Tamandua tetradactyla: one gene and its partners. The protein of the gene in region 3 interacts with the protein of the main gene of each other region in a biochemical or structural test. Links are inferred from orthologs where the notes say so. Each region holds a gene or a part of one and is shown on either strand. Other genes may lie near its edges. The genes, in order: PPP1R11, PPP1R7 and UBXN2B.

Region 1 (6,987 bases), on a different chromosome or scaffold from region 3:
CTCATACCCCTAGGACTATATAGGATCTGTCTCAGAAGCTAAAAGACCAAAGCCTTCGGAGACAGTTGACTCTAATTGACCAGTGTTCAAAGACAACTTTGTCAGAAATCTAGATCACAGAAGAAGGGTGTGGAGAGAGGACATGACTATTTCCTGCTCCATTTTCCATTAGAGGTGAGGATGACAAAGACCTCTCCTAACTCCTTCCTAGTGCATGAGGGGAGTGGGCAGGGAAGGAGACGAAGGGCTAGGAGCCTTGAGGTCTTCCAAAGTTCTCACAGCCCACAGGAATAAGAATCAGGATTATGTAAAAAAAGAAAAAAAAAATTAGTGGAAGAGCTCTAAACAGCATTAAAGCACAGCTGGAGCAAGATTGCCTGGAATCTGACTGGGACTCTGGCAGTGAAAGCCGGGGCTGTTAGAAACCTAATATTTGGGACTCAAGTAGACAATGCAAGGGGCTGAGATAACTGGATCCCAGGACAGGTAGTTTGGCAGTGAGAACGAAGGGAAGGGAATGGGACCAAGATGTCTAGATCTCTTAAGAGGGAAAGATGGATATTGGGAGGAGAAATGAGAGCCAAAGGAACCCAGAAACCTGGGTTCTGGTATAGCAGCAAGAAGAATTCCAGGTTTTCTGTCCACCCCCCTTTCTATCTTCTATCAGGCAGAGGAGAGGGAAAGAGGGGACTGGAGAAGAGATCAAACCATGGGTTTAATCCCCAAGTAGCCACATGAATACATTCAGGGCCAGACAGACACAGGAATAGTGGGGAAGAAAGGAATTTAGTGCTGCATTGGTCCTGGAGGGGGCTGGGACGGGTCAGGAGGCTGGGGAGGGGTGGTAGGGGTCAGTCCCAGAGTTGCACGACGCCGTCCTTTGCGGTGGCCACGGACACAGTGTGCATGACCACAGCCCTCCTCTTCCTCCTCATCGCTCTCTGTGGAGCTCTCGCCAAAGGCCCGAGGTTTCTCGTAAATACAGCAGCCTAAATTTGGAAGTGGAAGGGAGAAAAGTAAAATGCACCATGTCTGCTCCATTCCCACTGGATCTCTGAAAATTCCTACTTATACCACCGCCTCTTCCTACATTTCAGGATCCAGCTTCCCCAGGCTCCCTGGAACTCAGCCACCCAATCCCTTACCCTGGACTCTCCTTTTCCAAAGCCCTATTTCTCCCACATCTGACATTTCTTGCCTTCAGGTCTTGGCACATCCCTTTGCTAGCTTCCTCCCTATCTCTTTTCCTCTAATTTTAACCTTCTCTCCTTGATGTCAGAGAACCACCAAGAAAGTGGCTGGATGGTGACCATCTGGGGGCCTCAGGGAAGCCAGTGGATGTGAGAAGGCAGATTTGCAGAGAGGAGCCAGGATCCCAGGGTTATTGAGGGCCAACAGTTACTCACATTTTGATGAGCGGCGCCCCATATGCTCATTGTCCACAGTGTCGCTTGACCATTCCACCTTTTTCTCTGGCTTCCGTTTCCGAAGTTTGATGGTTAGGCTTCGGTTCTCCTAGAAAGTTAAGAGGGATGGGCTTACCTATCTATTCTACTCCCACTGATTTTTCCCACACCCTCCCAGGGGCCTCCCTTCCCCAGTTCATTCTGGTACTAGAGTCATATACCAGAAAAGGCGAATGCTGGGAGAAAATAAAATAGAACAGGTCTCTGGCATCAGGGAGTTCCCTGAGGATTAGTAAAGCACTATTTCCTGTTCTTGATAACAGCTAGTGTACAGAGAAGACAATTCCTAACCTAGGGAAGGTCCCAGCAAATCTTCAAACGAAAATATAATCCTCGCTGTCTTTCCGTCTTCCTCCCCAAATCATTCTTGGTGGTATTAATACACGAAAAAAATTTTTTAGTCTTCAATGCCTCATCTTTGATCTCCCTTTCTTTTTCCAGACCTTTTATTCTTCTCCGCTTTAAGTAAAGACCTCCATTCTCACCTCCCATTCTCAAGTCCAGCACTCCCCATTTCCTATCAATTTATTTCCTGAAATTCTGGCATCTCTGATAATTATAAACTCTTATTAATCTAGAGTTTATTGTGCCCAATGCCACCTTCTTTCTTTGAGAGCACCTTAATCTCTGCTTTTGCAAAAATACTACTTGTTTGTCCATCTTATATCTATCTCTCCTACCCAACTTCTCAAAATATTATCATCTCCTTTTCTCTGTTCCCTCATTTCTTCCACTTCCTTTTACATTCATTCACTCAACAAATATTTGATAAGTATGCTTCAGGTCAAATTCCCCCACAACTGGCCTCCATCCAGAGTTTCTTAGACTCCACCCAGCCCTAACCCAACCCCCATCCCCAGCACCTCCCTTGCTTTAACCCTCCATTTCCTATTCCTTTATACTTATACACTACCGTCCCTCCAAAGCAGCGTCACCTATATTCTAACTCTAACCCCTTATTACGTGTCCCTTGATTAACCTCCTGCACTGTCACTTCAAATATACCCAATACCTTGCGATTCTCCCAACTCCAGTCCTTCAATCCCACTCATCCCATATCCCCAGGGCCAGCCCCTGGAGCAACTCTCCGACACCTATTCCCTCCTTCCCGATTATCTCCCAGACCCCTAATCAGCACCGCTCCCCCCACTCCCCGCCTTTCTCACGGGCTCAGTTGTCACGGTAACCGTTGTCTCAGTGACGGTCTCACTCAGCCCGGCCCCTGCCTCAGCCATCGCTAAGGCTAAGGAGAGGGAGGAGGGATGGAAGGGGTACAAGACACCCTTCTCTTATTCTGAATCTCTGGGGTCTAAAGAGAATCGGTATCGGATTCAGAGTAGTAGCCAGAATCCTCTGCCTTCTTTATTTCCCCTCCTCCTGGGCCTCCACTTCCCCACCCCCGGGGATAACCTGTCCAACCCCACTTCCGGTTCTCCGCTTCCGGGTGTGACGACTTCTGTAGTTCCTTCTTTCCCCGCACCAGCTGCGTCAGAGCGCAGGCGCTGCCAGACTACTTCCGCCATCATGTGACAGAAACTTGGCGGAAGAAGCGTCACTACGTGTGTGGAAGGGCATTGGTAGTGGTGGTGGTGAAGCATTCAAGAGCGGCATGCGCACGCGCAACAGAGAAACGGCAGAAATGGGCGGTCCAGGAGGGCAGCGACCCACCAGGCGCTTCAGAACTTGGTGGGCTGTGCGCCGAGCCTTATTAGCGGCCAAAGGCTCGTGGAATCGATCGGTACGGTAGCTGAGCTCCCGATCTTTAAACCTGGGGTAGGGGGCGAGATGGAGAAAACTAAGGAGTAATAGTAATTGGCCATACATTGGCCTAGTCCCATTCCTTAACGTTTCGCCTGAGAATTAGGGAAACGGTATCTTGGTCCACTGGAAAACACTTTATTAGAAATCAAGCCATCTCTTGCTTTGTCCCTTGCTTAATGCCTGTAGGTGTTCGGGCAAGGCATTTCATGCAGCTTCACAAAACACGCAGACCCTGCCTTTAGTACCCAGTCTAGTGAAGACAGGGCGCTCAAAACTAAAAAATATAAGGCACTGGGGTATAAAAAAGAAGTAAATATCTGTGAAACTGAATTAAATTGCATATGATCATTTGAACTAACCCTGGGGTGGATATAAGACTAAGAGAAATGATCAGAAATCACAACATGGGGCAATTTGTGCTGCAATAAAAATATATGCACATTCTCAGGAACAAGAAAAAAAGTTTTAAAGAAAGTGAACAGGAAAGGCAGGATTTTAAAGAGAGAGAAGCTTACAAAACCAGAAATGTGTGCACTGAAGGAAATGCAAACGGTTTTGTACTTGCAGGTGTACGCGGCTTGACAAAATAGGTAGTAATTATGTGGAAGGGTCTGCTTTGCTGAGAAACTTGAACTTTATTCAGTAAGTGTTATGAGACAGGGAGAGGCTTAAAAAGTAGGATGAAACATGCACAGATTTATTTCAGATTGTGGGAGTGGGTCAGGGAAGTCACCTGCCAGAACAGTTCAAGTGTACAGTTTGAGAAAGACTGCTCTCCAAGAAAGTCTTTCTCATCTCTCCAAGTTGCTGTAGGGATCAAACAGGATGGTTTATGTTTTAGAGTTCTGAATATATAATGGCCACACAGCTACAAAATAATCAGTTATTAATCTTACCCCTGGGTCACCATTTAAGCAAAGGAAAAGCGGGAATGATGATTCAGACTAAAATTTGAATGTACTTATTGTTCCTGATCTGTTTCCCTTGTAAATTTTTGGTTCAAACTGAAAAAGGAACATACAGGTCAGCATATAGTATGACCCATTTTATATATATACATATATCCACATGTACATATATAATTTGGGTATCTCTGTAGAGTGGTATTCCCCTTGCTTTGTACTTTTTTTCTTTTTACCTTTTTAAGTGTGAAATCTATTCCAAAGAATATATGCATTACATTTATCTCAAGAGCAATTAAAAAAACACAATTACCGCTTAAGTAATTTCTTGTTCACATGTAGTTAAGTATATGCTGGTATCCCTTGGTATCAGAATTTTTTGTTGTCCAAACTAATTTACCAAATAGATTTGATTAAAATTTCAGTTGAATTCTCACAATCCAACACCCATGTTTTGCTTTCCTAAACTCAGTAATCAAATAGATTTGGAAAGTGAGGACTCTAACTATTGCTTTTTTTATATTTAGCATCATTTCTGATTCCAACTTTTTCTTCCCCTTTTTCTTTCTCGTATACTACTGATTTATATTATCTTTTGCAGTTGATATATTTGCTGAAAGGACAAATATTATCTGTTAGCTCACTTAAATTCCTGTTGGAACAAAGCAGATTGTAAATAACATACTCTTAGAGAGAGATACAACTTTAATAAGGAAACTCAACTAGGGATAGGAATGTTCTGAGGACAATGGCAATCTTCACGAGAGGATCTAATAGCCTCTCTGGAAGCAAGACATTACAATCAGAGAGGCTGGACAAGGGATCTAAAGACCCAGTATTCTTCACCTTCTAAGGAAAACAGGGAGGCACTGATCAGTAGCTCAGAAAAAAAATCAAGAGTCTTCCTTCTCCTGGAACCTGTGGAGAAAGAAAATATTTGTTATATTAAACAAAAGAAGAGTTTCTGGCAGTGTAAGATATGATACTCAAAAAGAATCAAAGAAGGCTTGTATTTATGCCACTGTGGAGAACTAGATCTCCTAAACAACCCTCCAATGTGAAGACAACTAAAAATGCTGGGATTAAAAAAATATTTATGCCCATACACACACACAGATACAATGAATTATAACCTTGAAGTTTACAAAGATTTATTCTACAATGCAAAAAGCACTAATCATAACAGGATCTCATTGATGAGATAGCAAGAAAGTAAAGGCAATCTTTGCCTTGGTCAGAAATGATGTAAAACTAGGAATGGAGAAAGGTAAGTTAAACTTGAAGTCCCCTGCTACCTGCTACTGTTTTGAGAGACATGTGGAATGTAAAAAACTAAAGCTAAAACCTACAATGCCTGATAAGAGATCCTTTGCATAAATTTGGGACCTCCACCCCCACCCCCAGAGGGCCTACCCCCCTCTGTGTAAAAGTGAAGAAGAAAAAAATAATTCAACTTTGCAGAAGGGGAATCTAATAGTTTTCATGTAAGTAGAGGAAGAGAAATGTATTCCCTGAGAATTTCTAACCATAAAGTGGCTGCCTTAAATGGTTTTGCAGCTTAAATGAATACTACCTGTGTGGTCGAAAAAACCTGAGCCCAGAATTTATTTAAAGTGATTCCAGCTCTGCAGTGCTCAAGGCACCTGAATAGAGCAAGTACAAATGCTGAGAATTCAGTATTCACCACAGGCCTCAAATAATTCTCATTTGCATAAAGTTTCAAAAATCCTGACCTCAGGCCAAGATGGCAGCTTAGCGAGGTGTGTGATTTAGTTCCTCCTAACAGCTAATAAATAGCCAGGAACAGTACAGAACAACTGCTAGGGCCATTATCAATAAAACAGTAAATAACAAGTGCTGAAGAGGATGTGGAGAAAGAGGCACACTTATATACTTTTGGTGGGAATGTCAAATGTTACAACTGCTGTGGAAGGCAGTGTGGCGGTTCCTTAGAAAGCTAAGTATAGAATTGCCATATGATCTGGCAATACCATTGTGAGGTATCTACTCAGAGGATATGAGGGCAAAGACACAAATGGACATTTGTACATTATAGCAGCATTATTTACAATTGCCAAGAGATGGAAACAGCCCAAATGTCCATCACAGACGAGTGGCTAAACAAGCTGTGGTATATAGATACGATGGAATATTATGGAGCTGTAAGATAGAATAAAGTTATGAAGTATGTAACAACATGGATGGAGCTTAAGAACATTATGCTGAGTTAGATTTGCCAGAAACAAAAGGACAAATACTGTATGGTCTCAATGATATGAACTAACATTAATGAATGAACTTGGATAATTTTAGTTAAGAACAGAGGTCATCAGGAGATAGAAATAGGGTAGATATTAGGTAATTGGAACTGAAGGGATACAGATTGTGCAATGGGACTGATTATAAAAATTCAGAAATGAATAGCACACTACCTAAGTGTAACACAATAATGTCAGAACACTGAATGAAGCTGAATGTGAGAATGATAGAGGGAGGGGCCCTGGGGGCACAAATAAAATCACAAGGAAAGACAGACAATAAAGACTAAGATGGTATAATCCAGAAATGCCTAGAGTGTATAATGATAGTGACTAAATGTACAAATTTAAAACCGTTTTGCATGAGGAAGAGCAAAGGAATGTCAATAATGCAGGGTGTTGAAAATAGACGGTAATTAATATTTTAAAATTTTAACTTATGTGTGAGACTAAAGCAAAATATGTTTATTTGGGGAAATATCTTATCAATCTTATAATAGGAGGCGGTTTCCTAGATGTTACACCCAAAGTATGAGAACTGAAGAAAGAAAGGGAGGGAGGGAAGGAGGGAGGGAGGGAAGGAAGGAAGGAAGGAAGGAA
Region 2 (7,624 bases), on a different chromosome or scaffold from region 3:
ACATTTTGTTGCGAGCAAATTATGCCTCAATAAAACTGATTTTTTAAAAATAGAATTATCAGTGAATGGTTAAAACTGACAATTAGTCATAGCTGAAGAGAAAATTTGTGAACTGGAAGATTTTTTTGAATAGATAATCCAGAATAAAACACAGAGAAACAAGGAGAAAAAAATATGTCAGGGAGAAGTTAACAGACAGTCTAAGACGATCTAATAAACACCTAATTGGAGAGAAAAATGGAGAGGAGAAACCATTTGAAGAGAGAAGAATGAACACTTTTCAATAATAATACAGGAAAAAAACGCACAGATTTCAGACCACTATAAATGAACAATGAGGATGGAGAAGGAGGTGGGCCTGAGCCCACCAGACAGGAAAACTCAACATAAAGCTGTAGTTACTCCGTTGGCAAGACTGAGCAGGAATAAACCAGTACATCACAGAAATAAATGGGAAGCCCAGCAACACACTCTTGCCTCTATGAACACTTATTTATCATGACTGGGGAAGCACTACATATCACTGAAGGAACACAGGCTGTTCCGTTGATGATATTGTGACAACTTTTTATCCAAATGGAAGCTGGGAAAGCAGATCTATTAACACACCCGAAGCAGAACCAAAGCCCAGAGCCTAATAAAAGATTTAATCTGTGAAATTCAAAATACTAAACTTTTAGAAGACAATAAAATAAGTCATCTTTAAGACTTTGGAGTAGGGAAAAAAATTCTTAAACAAGACACAAAAAGCTCTGTGATTGATAAATTAACCATATTAAAATTAAGAATGTCTGTTCTACCATAAAGAAAATGAAATGACAAGCCACAATTTGAGAAAGGATATTCACCATATATATAATCAACAGACGATTAAGTCCAGAATATTTTTTAAGTAAATAAATAAGATTTTTAAAAAACTTAAGTGACACATAGTCCAACAGAAAAATGGGCAAAGGCTAGGGACAAGAGTTCACAGAAGAGGAAAACTAGTGGTCAATAACCCTAGGAGAAGAGGCTGAACTTCATTAGCATAACCAGGGCAACTTATACCCACTAAATCAGCAAAAATCAACAAATCTATTAATACCAAATGTTGAAGGATGTGGATCAACAGGAGCTCTAATTAACTGATAAAAGCTCTTTGGAAAACAATTTTAGTTAAATCTTGGCCTACTCTGACCCAGCATTTTCCACTCCTAGATTTCCATCCTAGAGAAATTCTTTCATGAATGTAGCAAGACACACACACAAGAATGTTCAAAGAAGCATGACTCACAACAGCAAAAAGGGAACCAATGGAAAAACAGATGTAAAATTCTGGTATATTCACACCATGAATTATAACAGTGGAAATAAATTACCCACAATGTGGATAAATGTTAGCAATAGAACGAAAAAAAAAAGTCAAGTCACAAAAGACTATCAACAATAGGATTCCCTTTTTATAAAATCCAAAAGCCCATCTAAAATATATTATTTAGCCATATCTACATATGTGATGAAACTGTCTTAAACAAGAGACTGATAAACACTGACTTGAGACAGTTGGTTTCCTCGGAGAGGTGAAGCAGGGAGGGGGCACTGGGGCACAGGGGCTTCCAGTTCTCTACGTAAGTAGTGGATTCAAATGGGCGCACTTTATTGTAATGAATGTGACTGATGTTACATTTATTCTTTCATATGACTTGATTAGCACATACTAAAAATTACATTAAATACACACACACATCCAGCTTGGATCCTGGAAAACGATAGCTGTGTATGAACCAAAAGATATGTAGGGAGCTAGAAATAATTGAATAATAAACTATCTTTGCTTCAAGTAGCAACACTTAAATCTCACAGGTTTATATTTTCTTCTCTAAGCATCTAACTGACAAATTATTTCTATAATAGATAGCAATGGCATGATCGTAGAAGTAGCTTTTTACTTCTAGAACCAATCTATAGACAAAACACAGAAGACATCATTACAGATTCAGAGTGCATGGTACACCTTTCAAACCTTCACTGTGTAAAAACAGTTAACCTAACTCTTCAGAAAACATTGTATATGTAAAGTAAAGCTTTACTCTGTAAAAATTATAACTCCTCAGAATACATGGAAAATCTTACAAAGCTTTATGTATAAAAATGATAATATAACCTTTCAGAATACATTGTAAATCTTTTCAAATTTTACTTTGTAAAAATAAAAATATAACAAAAATAGGAGAAGAGGGAAGGTGAAGAAAGGGTAAGTGCATGCATTTTTTTGTCTTTCACAGAGGACATCAATAAACTGTCAAAGTTGATAAATCAAGAAGTGGAAGTTTAATTATATTCCTGAAAGTTACAGTGTTACTATGGTAAACAGGGAGGAAAGCTGTAACTAACACTGATATGGGGGGGGGGGGGCAGTAAGGGAGAAGACTGCACCACAATGTCCCTCTCAGAGCAGTCCTTGGCTTCATGCCACCTTAGGGGGTCCTTGGGTTTTCTGAAATGGTTAACTCCAGTGCTAACCAGAAACACATATAAGTCTACACCTCCCATTTTTAGAAGATTTTTGTATCAGCTCCTGAAGGTGCCTCAGGATAAACCTATGCCCATAGCTAGTTCTGATTCCTGAAGAAGCAAGTAAACCTAATTTAGACCAAATAAAAACAAGGAGAAGTTTGCAGGGCACTTCTGGGAAAGTCCTCCTTGCTCTTCCAGGGAAACTTCTGGAAGCAATTTCCTCTCTCCTACTAGAACCTAAGGTAGGAAGCACATAATTCCAGGTGCTCCCACCACTGCTGAGCAACCAAGAGCAGAACCTTGGGATGGGGCCAACATGGTGAGCACAGAACAGAGAAAGGCCAGGATTCTAGTCCTGGAAAATTCTGAGCCACTGGCTCAAGCACCCTAAGACCCACTAGTATCATTCCTCACTCCTCATAGCCATCCTGCATCTGTGCTTCTGTTTTCTTGGATCAAAGCATCCTAATAACACAGAGAAGGATAGCTGCCACGATGGGAAATGTCAGCAAAGGCTTCCTGGGGGAGGTACTCACTGGCAGAACCGAGCCAAGCAGAGTGCAGTGAAAAAGCCTTAAAGCCTTCCAAGTAGAGGAACCAGTACAGCAATGACTTTCCTACCACCCCTGGGGAGGAATCAGGACACAGAAAAGAAGGTTAAGACTGGCCTGGAGAAACCAGCATGCTCCAAGCTCTTTCTGTGCCAGCTCCAGCAGTCTGGATTTTATCCTGAAGACTGGGGACAAGGAGACAGGTCACATCCATCAGGGTAAGAGAATAGGCGATCCTACACTAACAAGGACAGAAAGATGGAGAGAGAAGGAAACCAATTAAGTGGAAACTGAGCTGGATTTTGAGGAGAATGGAAAGTAAGGGAAAGAAAGGAGTCAAGACTATTTCTAAGATTCCAGTTGCGGTGACTCCAATTCTCTGGGAAAAGAAAAACTGGCGAAGAAGAAACATGAGACAGCAGGAATAAACCTTGAAGACTTCACATGGAGGGAAAAAAGGCTAACACACAAAGACAAATACTGTATGAGCTCACTGATGTGTAATAATTAGAAAAAGCACAATCAGACTCAGAAACTAGAATGCAGGTTACCAGGGGTCGCGGTGGGAGAGCTAATGCTTTATTGTTCAGAGTTTCTATCTGGGGTGATGGTAGCATAATGTTGTGAACGTAATTATATATTCTAATGTGGTTAAAAAGGGAAATTTTAGGTTAAATATGTTGTAGAATTTTTTTAAAAAAAGCACACACACAGGACTGTACAACACAGCGAATCCTAATGAAAATTATTGAGTATCGTTAATACTACAATTATAATATTGTTTCATCAATTGTAACAAAGGTGCCACGTCAATGCAAGGCATTAATAAAAGTGGGGCATATGGGCACTCTGTGTTTTCTGAATGATTTTTCTGTTATCTACAGCTTCTTAAATTTACAGAAAGGTAAGGATAAAGTCCGGAAGGAGAGGGGAGCACCCCAGTGGCCGCGGCGGGAAGCAGCGGGCATGCGCACTCCAGCTCATTCATTCATCCCACGCGCAGTTGGTAACAAAGCCCCTGAGTGCCAAGCACCGTCCTGGATGCTGGAAAGCAGCTGGGACGAAGACGAGGTCTCAAGTGCTCGAGCTTAGCTTCTAGCTGCAGGACAGGCAGTGAGGAAATAAAGCAGATAAACCAAACTAAAGCGAGGTGAACCGAGCTCTCCTGGACCGCCCCATCCGGCCAGGTCGGGAGCTGGAAAGGCCCCGAAGTGGCACCGCACGGTCAAACCACGGTACGGCCTCCCGGGCACTAGGGAGGAGCCGGCCCGAGGGCCACAGGCGCAGGGCGTCGACGTTTAGGTGCCCCTCGCCCGAGGATCGGCGAGGGGCGCGCGGCGGCGGCGCAGGACGACAGCGGACCCTCGCAGGCCCGCGCCCCTCAGCCCAGGCCCGCCAGACCCCGAGAGGCCGCGGAGCAGGACCCGTTCTCCCGAGCGCACGTTCCTCACCTGGGGCCTGCGAGAGTCGCCGCTACAGAGCTCGCAATACCCCGCAGGGTGGGAGCGGACCCTCGCTTCCAGCCGCATGGGCCAATCGCATAGAGACTCGCGCCGAGTGACCGGTTCCGCCGGCCAACCACTGGAACCAGTGGGCCGGACTCCGCAGGCCCAAGGCTTGAAGCCCGCGCTTAACGGTTGCTAGGGACGCACCGGACGTGCTCTACGGCAGTGCGAAGGAGCCAAAAGAGACATAAAGCCGCGGACAGTCCGGGTCCTGGACGTTTTCTTCAGCATTCCTGATCGAGAAGCGTGATCGACTCGGGGTCGACTCTTGGCGGCCCAGTCCGAAGGACTCGCCACGCGGGGCAGCCCCTTCGTGAGCGGGGAGGGCGACGGACCGTCTGCCGCTCACGCTTTTTCAACCCCCCCAAACTGGAGGCTCGGAGCGGCAGACGGAAACTGCGGCGCCGTTAGGAATGGCCCGCCTGCCGTCCCGTCCTGCTGCCCACCTGTCCTGCTACCCCCTGTCCAGCTGCCCCACGAAGCGCGTTCACAAGAGGCGTGGTTTAATCCGCGCGATAATGCCAGGAGTAAGTTGCACTCGTCCACTGGGTCCATTCTACAAACGCGGCCAGTGAGGCTGTGAGATGCTGGGACGCACTTCGCCATCCCGAAGATTCGCGCGGCCGCAGTCCTTTACGCCTCTACAGTCGGGATAATGAAAGACATGACCCCACAAGCCAGGGCATTTTCCCGATTCTCCTCCAGCCTGCCTCGACGCCCTTGCCATTTGCCCGCAGCTACGGCTCCGCGCGCCCGCCTCGACTCCACCTCCTCTCTTTGCCAGCCTCTTGCTGGTCTTGGCTCTGCTTCCAGAGGTTACCTGCCCCGGAGAGGTGCAACAGGCGGCGCCGGAGGGTAAGAAGGGGCGCAACGTCGCGGGCGAACTACAACTTCCATGAGGCGCTGCTTCTGCGCAGGCGCGTCTGGTGCAAGCCTTTGCGCGGCGAGTCCATTGGTTGCGTAGCCTCGGCGATGGGAGTCCTGATTGGCTGGGGGATCTGAGGCGACTAATTCCGGAAAGGGGACGAGCAGCCAACATGGCGTCGGAACGCGGCGCAGGGCAGCAACAGTCGCAGGAGATGATGGAAGGTGAGTTGCTCCTGCGGGGTGGCGGCTGAAGAGCCCCAGCCGGTGGGGGTAGCAGCGGGTCGGCATTGCCCTTTCCCCGAGAGAAACTCGGCGTCCTACCTCCGGCGGCGGCCTGGGCCCTGCCGCGGCCTCCTGACCTCTGCCGGCTGGGGCTCGGCTGAGCGGGGCAGGCTCCAGAGACGGTATAGCCCGGGCCGGGGGTCTACAGCGGCTGGGCAGTTTCGGGAGGCTCCGAAGGCTCCGGACAGACCCGAAGGGAAGGGAGGGCGACGGCGAGAGTCCATGGCTGGTGGGTGGGGATTCTAGGGAACGTGGGGGCTCCCGAAGCTCCGCTGCGTTTCTGGTCCAGTTGGAGACATCCTCAGAACCTCGGAAATTGACATGCGGACAGCGATTGGCGATTTGCTGATGAAGGAACTGAGGCCCCGGGCGCTGTGTAACCTCTTAGAGTTTGCTTATTTTGTTAATGTGGCCGGGGCGGAGAAAGGTCCTCTCTTAAGAGCGAAGGGATTGTGGAAAAGGAATGACAATGAGGCGAGGAGTCAAAAGATTAAGTTATAAAAATTGCCGAGAAACCGTTATAGAAACAGCTATAGAAGTCTGTTTCCAGGGTTTTCGTGGGTCCGGAAAGAAGGCTAAATTCAACTTTCCTCCTCCACTTTCATTTTTCTAAAAATAAAAAAGTATGCACGTATACATATTACCAGTTGGTGAGCCAGCTAGGCTTTTGAATGCTTTTGTGCTTTTGGTTCTGCTGGTTTAGTGAGACAATCACTACACCCCACCCCCGGTGATACATGCTAGGGAGGAAGAAAGCAGAGCTAGGGAGTGGGCGTGGGGGAAAGGGAGCCAGGACTTGCTTGCCCGTGGGATGGTGAAGGGTGCACAGCCAAGGTCAGTTTGAACCTGGACTGTGAAGGATAACTACAAGTCAACCGATTGGGTATAGGGAGAAAAAAGGATCATTTCAGACCAAGGAAACTACACAAAGGAAAAGGAACAAAAGAACACGGACTATTTGGAGCAAAATTTGACCAGGATAACAGTCGTTGGATGAGGATGAGCCATGGCCCATGAGGCTGGTGAGAGGCCCTCATGGGGGACTTCAGGAGGACATGATAAGAGTGGTGGATTTTGATACCATGGAATTTTTTTAAGCACTGAACAGGCTGAGGAGTTGGGAAGGAGGGAGAATATGAGCGTAGTATGAACTCCTCATATTCTCCCTCCTTCCCAACTCCTCGGCCTGTTCCTGCTCTCTCTTCTACCATTGTATGGCTTGGTAAATGGCAATGCCAATTCCCTTCTTGCCCAAATAAAAGAAACAGGCTTTTCTCTCTCTCCCACTCCAACCCATGTTCAAAAAGTCAACCAGTTCTGATTCCTCTACCTCTTCAGTAGCTCCAAATCTCCAATACTTCTTCCACCTCCACTGCCAACCCCTTAGTTCAGGTCTTTGCCAAGCTAGATTTCATTGCCCCAGTTTGCCAACCCTTTTTCACAGTATCCCAAAGTCCTTTTCTTATGTCCTGATTCAGCTTTCTCATGCTTCAGACCCTGTCTGCTGCTCTCAGGGTAGAGGAACAGATTTCACTCCACCTGCCTTCTTAACCTCTCAGCACTCCTCCCATCTGGTCCTGGGCTCAGCTACACCAGAACATCACCCAGTAGACAATGCTCATCCTCAGTTCTGGGCTGGACTACGCTTAACTAATCTCCTCCGCTTGTCCTTCAATTCCCACCTCAGACTTTAGCTCCTTTGAGAAGCCTTTCTTAACTCCCTCACCTCAGTCTGGGATAGAACTTCTCTTAGGCCTTACCCCCAGTATCCCAGCACTGACTACCTGGACTGGATGGAAATCATCTCTTATGTAAGATCCTTGACTAGAGGAATTTCCCACACACACCTCTGATACCTCACAGTGCCCTGTGTGGATAATAACTGATTCACTAAATATCTCCTGCGTGTCATGCATGTGC
Region 3 (7,018 bases):
TGCACCCGGAGTATGGGGGTTGTGGGTATCAGGGTGCAGAGGTCAGGGTGTAGGGGTGTGGGTCACGGGGACAGGGGTCTGGGGTAGGGTGGGTGGGGCAGTGGTATGATGGGGGGGTGCGGCTGGGATGTGGATGTGATTGTGCACAGGAGCAGGGTGCAGGTGTGCAGGACATGGAATGATGGGGAGGAGTGTAGGTGGGGGTCAGAAGGGGCATGTGCGGGTCGTGGAGTACGTGTATCTGAGGTGGGATGTGGGTGTGGCACGAATTGCTCCTGAGAACCTAGGAGGGGGTGTACCAATGCGGATGTACGTGGAGGCGGTGCACTAGTATACAGGTCATTGGGGATGGCAGGGCATCCTTTTGCAGCTTGTGTGGGGGCAGGTGCAGTTGTGCAGGTGTGGGGACATTGGAGTGCAGGTGTGTGCATTTGCCAGGCTGGGGGTAGGGCACATGTGAGTGCATGAACGTGGCACAGAGGGAGGGGGCCATGGCAGGGATGTACATGTACAACGGACTGGGGGTGGTATGACAGATGTGCAGAGTGGCTACGTGGGTTGGGGGGCAGGTGATAGGCAGGGCGTGAGTGTGTGCATATGCATGGTGGGGGGGCAGGGGTGAATGTGTGCATACGGTGAGGATGTGTGGGTTCAGGGGATAGCAGGGTTCAGGTGCGTGGGGTGCGGTGAGGGGGTAGGGGAGCATGGCTTGCGGGGTTGGGTGGCGTGCATGGGAACAGTGTGCTCAGGGAACGTAGCTTGGCTTACTTCCTAGTCCCCGTCTCCCTGTCAGGCACTCCTGAGGGCTCCAGGCCTCAGTTTCGAAAGGGGCACATTAGGCTCTTTGCATTAGCTGGATGGTCTTTGGTTCTCTGAGTCTCAATTCCTCAGCTTTTTCAACCAGGGGCCCCCTATGTGGTACAGAAAACCCTGTCAGGTCACTTGCATCCTGTCGCTGTCCTGGTTGTTTTTCTGTCACTTCTCTAGCTGTTCCTTGAAGAAGGGGTGAATTTGACCTATTCTTTCCCGGCATATTAAAATCTAAAGGAAAGATTACAAATAAATACTGTATACCAAATCACATTTCATAAAGTAACCAGTTACCTCCTTACTAAGGCACACTGTAGTTAGGACATGAAACAAAAAAATCCCTACCTCCTAATTTATGGTGGAAACAAAACATTCTTACAATTAACACATATAAGAATACATCCACTGGATTAAGTCATTAAAGTCAGTAATCAATCTGTCAGGTATCAGGTGGTCATTTAACAAGCTATATGTATTTTCACATGAAAAGAAAAAATAGATTTAAATTAGAGGAAAAGGATATTAAGTTACTCAGTTCTAATTTTAAGGGCATTAGAATGAAAAAGTCAGTGAAAGCTACAGTTGATTTCTTCCCTTAAGGGAAAAGGAACCAAACACTTATCAAACATGGGGACTGTGTACAGGCACTTTACAAACATTTTAAAATTATTTACAACACCAACACCAATATCACTCCCTTTACAAATGAAGACCCTGAGGATCAAAGTTAAAATATTTTCCTTAACTTCACACAACCATTAGACGGCAAGACCAAAATTCAGTCTGACCCATAAACTCCGTTTCTTCCCAATACCTCATTCTACCTTTTTAGTGATGTTGGTCTATAACAGAAAAGACGAGGTAGAGAATAGCTTCCTTTTTCTTGATTCTGCTTATTACTACAGAATTAACTTATGGTGACTGTAAATGGGATTATTCTACACTTGGTTCCTCTCCTGGACAACATTCTCTAAACTTAAACTGATCTCTCTATTTTCCAAATTCCTCATTTTAGGCACTGCTTATTTTAGTACTCACTCTCCATCTTGAAATGTTAAGTTAAATGTATCATATCCTATTTCTCAAAAAAAATCTGGCTTCCTAAAGGTAGAAGTACATTTTAATTTTTTTATCTATCATTCATAGATATTTTATACATTGACTGTGGATTTATATTTGCAGTACCCAGAGCTAAGCAATAGTTCCTTATTTATGTGGCCAGACAGTCAAGAGATGCTTGCTTAGAGAAGTAGGTGTGATTATAAAGAAACAGAACTTGTTTACCTAGACAGTGGATTCCATCTCCTTTATTTATAATTACAGCTTCTTATAGATGTTTATTTGGATTTATCTATGATCTTATAAGGAGATGGGAAAAAAGCTTAAAATAAGAAAAACGGTGTCAGCATTTGGTAAAGCAGTACGTGGTAAACTCATATTTTAGCTAACTAAATGCCTGTGTCCTACAATGTTATAAAGTTTTATTTCTCCGTTTCTTATGTGCAATGTATTCTAGACTGTAACTTCTTTTTTTTTTTTTTGCATGGGCAGGCACCGGGAATCGAACCCGAGTCTCCAGCATGGCAGAAGAGAACTTTGCCTGCTGAGCCACCGTGAACTACCCTAGACTGTAACTTTTAAAACTAGGTTGTACAGCAATAGCATGACACGCTTTAGCACCGCCCTTTCAAAGAGAAATGCAAGGGTACCTTTTTTTTTTTTTTTAAATGTATCAGTAATCAAGTAAAAAACAACATCTGAAACAAGAAAGGAGAAACCACTGCATGCGTTTTTAATGTTTCAGCGCCCGCTGACTTCTACAGCCACAGTAAAGCTTCCTTCTGAGGTAAATCACAGGAAGCCGCTCAACAGACACCACAAACATGCCATTCAAGATTAGGTGGCTTCTGAGTTTAACCAAATGGTAAGAATGGGTTGAGGCGCACGAGACCCGGGCATCCGTACACTTGTCTCCACGAATCCCGCGGACTGTGCACCACTCGGGCAAACCCGCAGGCGCGCGGTCTGGAACTGCTCAGCCGCGGCCAGGGGCGGCTTCCGACCCACACCGCCGTCCCTGCCCCGCCCGCTCCCGGTCGCCGCCGCCGCCGCACCTGCAGGTCCCGGGCGCTCGGGGGCCGCGGCCCTGAGGACCTTCGCTCTCCTTCGCCGCGCTCAGTGCCGCCGCCCTCCGCCATCTTCCGCCCGGTCCCGGGCGCTTCCGCCGACGCGCCTCCCGGGGACTTCCGGGCGGGTTGCCGGGCAACGGTGGAGCGAGGGCAGAGCCGCGCGAGGCCCTGGGCGCGCCCACCCGCCCGGCTGCCGGGTCGCTTGGCGCCCGCGCTGACTTTTCCCTCTTCTTCCTTAAGAGGGGTGGGCTAGGGACGAGTTTTCGTCTGCTGCACGCTAGGTCTTGGAGGCACTGCTTCTGGTCTCTAGCGCAGCCTGGGCTCGCGGGCTTATTTACCTCAAAAGGGACACCTCCGGGCGGCCGTGACAGCTACAGATGGTCAGGCCTTTCATTCGCTTAGTTTGATTTGAACTCCTCTTTTATGCCGCTACTGCTATGCCCGGAGGATGCCAGTAAAAAGACAAAATGCTAGTCATTATAGAACTCTCAGTCTAGCGGGGAAAAGACAGGTGAAAACACGTGTAGGAGATCGCTGTACTGCAAGTTCAGGTAGAGAGGAAATGTCAAGTTGTAGTAGTTTGAGGAGTGACAGGGCAGTGACGGCTACGTTTTCAGTGTGTTTGAAGTCAGTGGTGTGCCCGTGTTTTAAGCTGAAGTCTTGTGAGAGCCTATTAAAGTTTTTGGGAAATTTGCAAGCCGGTTGTTAAACACCGCCATTATTAAAAACTAAATTATATAAACTTACAATGAAATGATATTGAAACAAAGGTAATAAATGCCCCAAACTCATCACTTTCTAATTATTTTAATACATTTTACTATCATCTATGCTCTTGAGATATTATATAATTTTGTGCACTAACTTTTTTATGTAATCTATATTTTTTTGTTAAAGAAGTTGTACATTTACCCAAAACCATGCAGAAAACCCAGAGTTTCCATATACCCCATCAACAACACCACACCTCGCATTAGTGTGGTAACTTTGTTATAATTGATGAAAGAATATTATTATAATTGGGCAATTATCTAGCATCCATAATTTACATTAGAACACACTGTGCTGTACAGTCCTCTTTTTCAAAACATTTTTTGCAACTTAAAATTTCCCCCCTTTTTTAAAGAACCATATTCAACTGTATAATTCAGTGCTGTTTATCATGTTCACAGTGTTGTGCTATCATCACCACCATCTATTACCAAAATTTTCTGGTCACTCCAAACAGAAATACTGGTTCATTTAAGGGTTAACTCCCCATTCTCTACACCCACCAGCCCCTGGTAGCCTGTATTCTAGTTTCTGACTCTGTAAATTTGCAAATTATAATTATTTCAGATCATTGAAATAACATATTTGTCCTTTTGCATCTGGCTCACTTCACTCGACATTGTGTCTTCCAGGTTCATCCATATTGCCATGCGTATCATTCCTTTTCATGGCTGAATAGTATTCCAGTGTATGAATATACCGTATTTTGTTTATCCTATAATTGTACATTTTTGCACACCTCTTTCCAGCTTTTGGCTCAGTGATATCATGTTGGTGGCTTGAAATAGATCATTTGGAAGTACTTACATCACATATTAGAAAATACCACAAATAAGAGCTCGATATATTGCATGTACTTTTAAGCACATGGTGGACAAAATGCTAATAATGCAGAAGAAACTTAAAAGTGTGCAGTGTCTGTAACTATTATAAGGTAAATTGCAAAAAAAGAGGAAACATTCTTTCAATATTTGAAAACTCCTAGTCAGTTCAGGAAATAAGTTGTCACATCAGGTTCTTACACATATTTTTGTTGTTTCACTTTTATCTTGTTAATAGAAACAAAAATATCAACCAACATTCAAGTGGTCCCCTTGAACTCTACTTTTGGCTTGTGATGAAAAAGAAGGTATCTCTATTCATCTTTCTACAAAGAAATCTGAACACAAATGATACTTCATTTGCTCCATTCTCTATTTTATAGGATGAAGGATTTTAAGAATCATGGAATTTATTCTGCCATGAAGATTCCTGCAGAATGGTCTGTCTCATACTCACTTTGATATGCTATTTGTATTGCATCTTGGGGTGCTTAAATTTGAGACCTAATTTTCACATTTTGCTGTACTTGTTTTTTCTTTCCATTAGACTGTGAGATCACAGATATCATGAATCTTATCTCTAGTGCCTTAACATAGGATAATGTGGAGTATAATAGGTACTTTTAATAAATGTCTCAATGAAGAAATGAATGAATGAATTATTTGTGGATCTATGGTTCGAACCTGGGTTTGACTGTCTTCAAAGTCTTTTTCCATTCATGGAAAGTCAAGAAATAACAGCCTAGCCTAACAGAAATCTTTATCAGCTACGGGCAGAACAATGTGTAGCCCATCTATCTTGGACCAATAAACTGTATCCAAATTAAACTTCACGGCCTAAATGAAAACCACGTTTGGGTAGTTTTACTTATGCTGAAACATTACTGAGGCCATCAAGGATCAGAGGCCACGATAAACTATGAAGGCCTTGTTTCATCCTTTAAAACATTTAAATCTCTTTTTAATGATTATAGAATATAAGATATTTCCATTTGGGAATATTCATAGGTTGCATTTGTTATTTCATTTAATCCACAACAACCTTCTTTCTGGGTTAGATATTGTCTTCATTTTACGGAAATATTTGAAGACCAGAGAAATAAAATGACCTTGCGCCTGTCAAGGCTCTCACTGCATTGCACATAGGCTTTTTCATACTATACTTCTACCATTTTCTTTGCCTAGAATGAAGCAGAAATGAGGTATTATTTCAAGATCATTACTTCGAGTGTGATTTTTTGGTAGGTATTTACCAGCTTCCCCAGGTATTTTGGTTACTCCTTACCCATATAACTACCCAAACTTTGTACACAATCCTTTCACAAGCTATTCTAGTTTGCAAGCTGCCAGAATGCGATATGCCAGAAACGGAACAACTTTTAAAAAGGTAAATTTATTAAGTTGCTAGTTTACAGTTCTAAGGTGGTGAAAGTGCCCAAATTAAAGCAAGGCTATAAAAATGTCCAATCTAAGGCATCCAGGGAAAGATACCTTGATTCAAGAAGGCCGATGACGTTCAGGGTTTCTCTCTCAGCTGGAAAAGCACATAGCAAGATCTGCTAGCTTTCTCTTCAACAGCTCCCTGCGACTCTGTCTGTTCTGTTGGTTCTGTTGGCTCTGTTGGCTCTCATGGCTCTAAAGCTTTTTCTAAAAGTTTCCCTCTTAAAGGACTCCCAGTAAGTGACCCTACCTTGGATGGGTGGAGACACATCTCCACGGAAACCAACTAATCAAAAGTTCCCATCCACAATTGGGTGGGTCATGTCTCCATGGAAACAATAAAAAAGATCCCATCCAGATATATGGAATTGAATGAGGATTATAGGACATGGCTTTTCTGGGGGTACATAATAGCTTAAAATCAGCACAGAAGACTTTTTTTTTAGTGTATTATGGTCTGGGTATCACTAGACTGTGAAGCCCTCCAAGAGGAAGGATTATTTTCTGTTCTTTCTATATCTCCAATGCTTAGCCTGTAACAGAAGTTCTGAATACTGAATACTTTTTTTAAATTATAGTTATGCAGTTGGGTATACTTATTTTTGAATGCTTAGTATATTTTAGTTTAAATCTTATACAAAAATTCCTTACTATTTTCTCAAATCCACTTAATCACCAATTTTTCAATTTAAAAGTGCATAGTACATAGGTTGAATTAATACATCTAAATTCCAGTTGGACTTATCAGGAATGTGTGCATTGATCAGTTGCCTAGGCAAGAGTGGGTTACTCTAGCTGGGAGAAGCGGCTGCTGTCCTGAAACAGAAGCAGCCAATAGATTATTGGATCAGCAAGACTGGGGGCTTCACTGCCTGAATTCACATTTACTGATGTGAAATTTTCTCAAATTTAAAAACTTTAACAATTTTTTATCAGTCAACTTAAAGAAAGATGTTAGGTACTGTGGGGATTCACAGATGAATAATCTAGTTTTTGTTCTCATGTTTTGACTCTCACTCCCTGCAAATAATGCCAGTAAACTTGTAA

The links.
Region 1: the proteins of UBXN2B (region 3) and PPP1R11 form a complex in vitro, tested with the Homo sapiens proteins (2 studies listed by BioGRID). The link is inferred for Tamandua tetradactyla from reciprocal best matches to the Homo sapiens genes UBXN2B and PPP1R11.
Region 2: the proteins of UBXN2B (region 3) and PPP1R7 form a complex in vitro, tested with the Homo sapiens proteins (2 studies listed by BioGRID). The link is inferred for Tamandua tetradactyla from reciprocal best matches to the Homo sapiens genes UBXN2B and PPP1R7.

The regions. Positions count from the first base shown.
Region 1 is NC_135331.1:84,560,293-84,567,279, reverse strand, and holds the start of PPP1R11 (E3 ubiquitin-protein ligase PPP1R11), read right to left. Parts: upstream 3,001-6,987; 5' UTR 2,702-3,000; coding exon 2,633-2,701; exon of another isoform or gene 2,485-2,632; intron 1,516-2,484; coding exon 1,407-1,515; intron 990-1,406; coding exon 898-989; coding exon of another isoform or gene 787-897; exon of another isoform or gene 1-786. Other genes in the region: POLR1H (DNA-directed RNA polymerase I subunit RPA12), read right to left, coding at 5,023-5,047. UniProt on the Homo sapiens protein: Atypical E3 ubiquitin-protein ligase which ubiquitinates TLR2 at 'Lys-754' leading to its degradation by the proteasome.
Region 2 is NC_135329.1:79,627,283-79,634,906, forward strand, and holds the start of PPP1R7 (protein phosphatase 1 regulatory subunit 7), read left to right. Parts: upstream 1-4,524; 5' UTR 4,525-5,592; coding exon 5,593-5,644; intron 5,645-7,624. UniProt on the Homo sapiens protein: Regulatory subunit of protein phosphatase 1.
Region 3 is NC_135332.1:101,717,491-101,724,508, reverse strand, and holds the start of UBXN2B (UBX domain-containing protein 2B), read right to left. Parts: upstream 3,031-7,018; 5' UTR 3,009-3,030; coding exon 2,925-3,008; intron 1-2,924. UniProt on the Homo sapiens protein: Adapter protein required for Golgi and endoplasmic reticulum biogenesis. Involved in Golgi and endoplasmic reticulum maintenance during interphase and in their reassembly at the end of mitosis.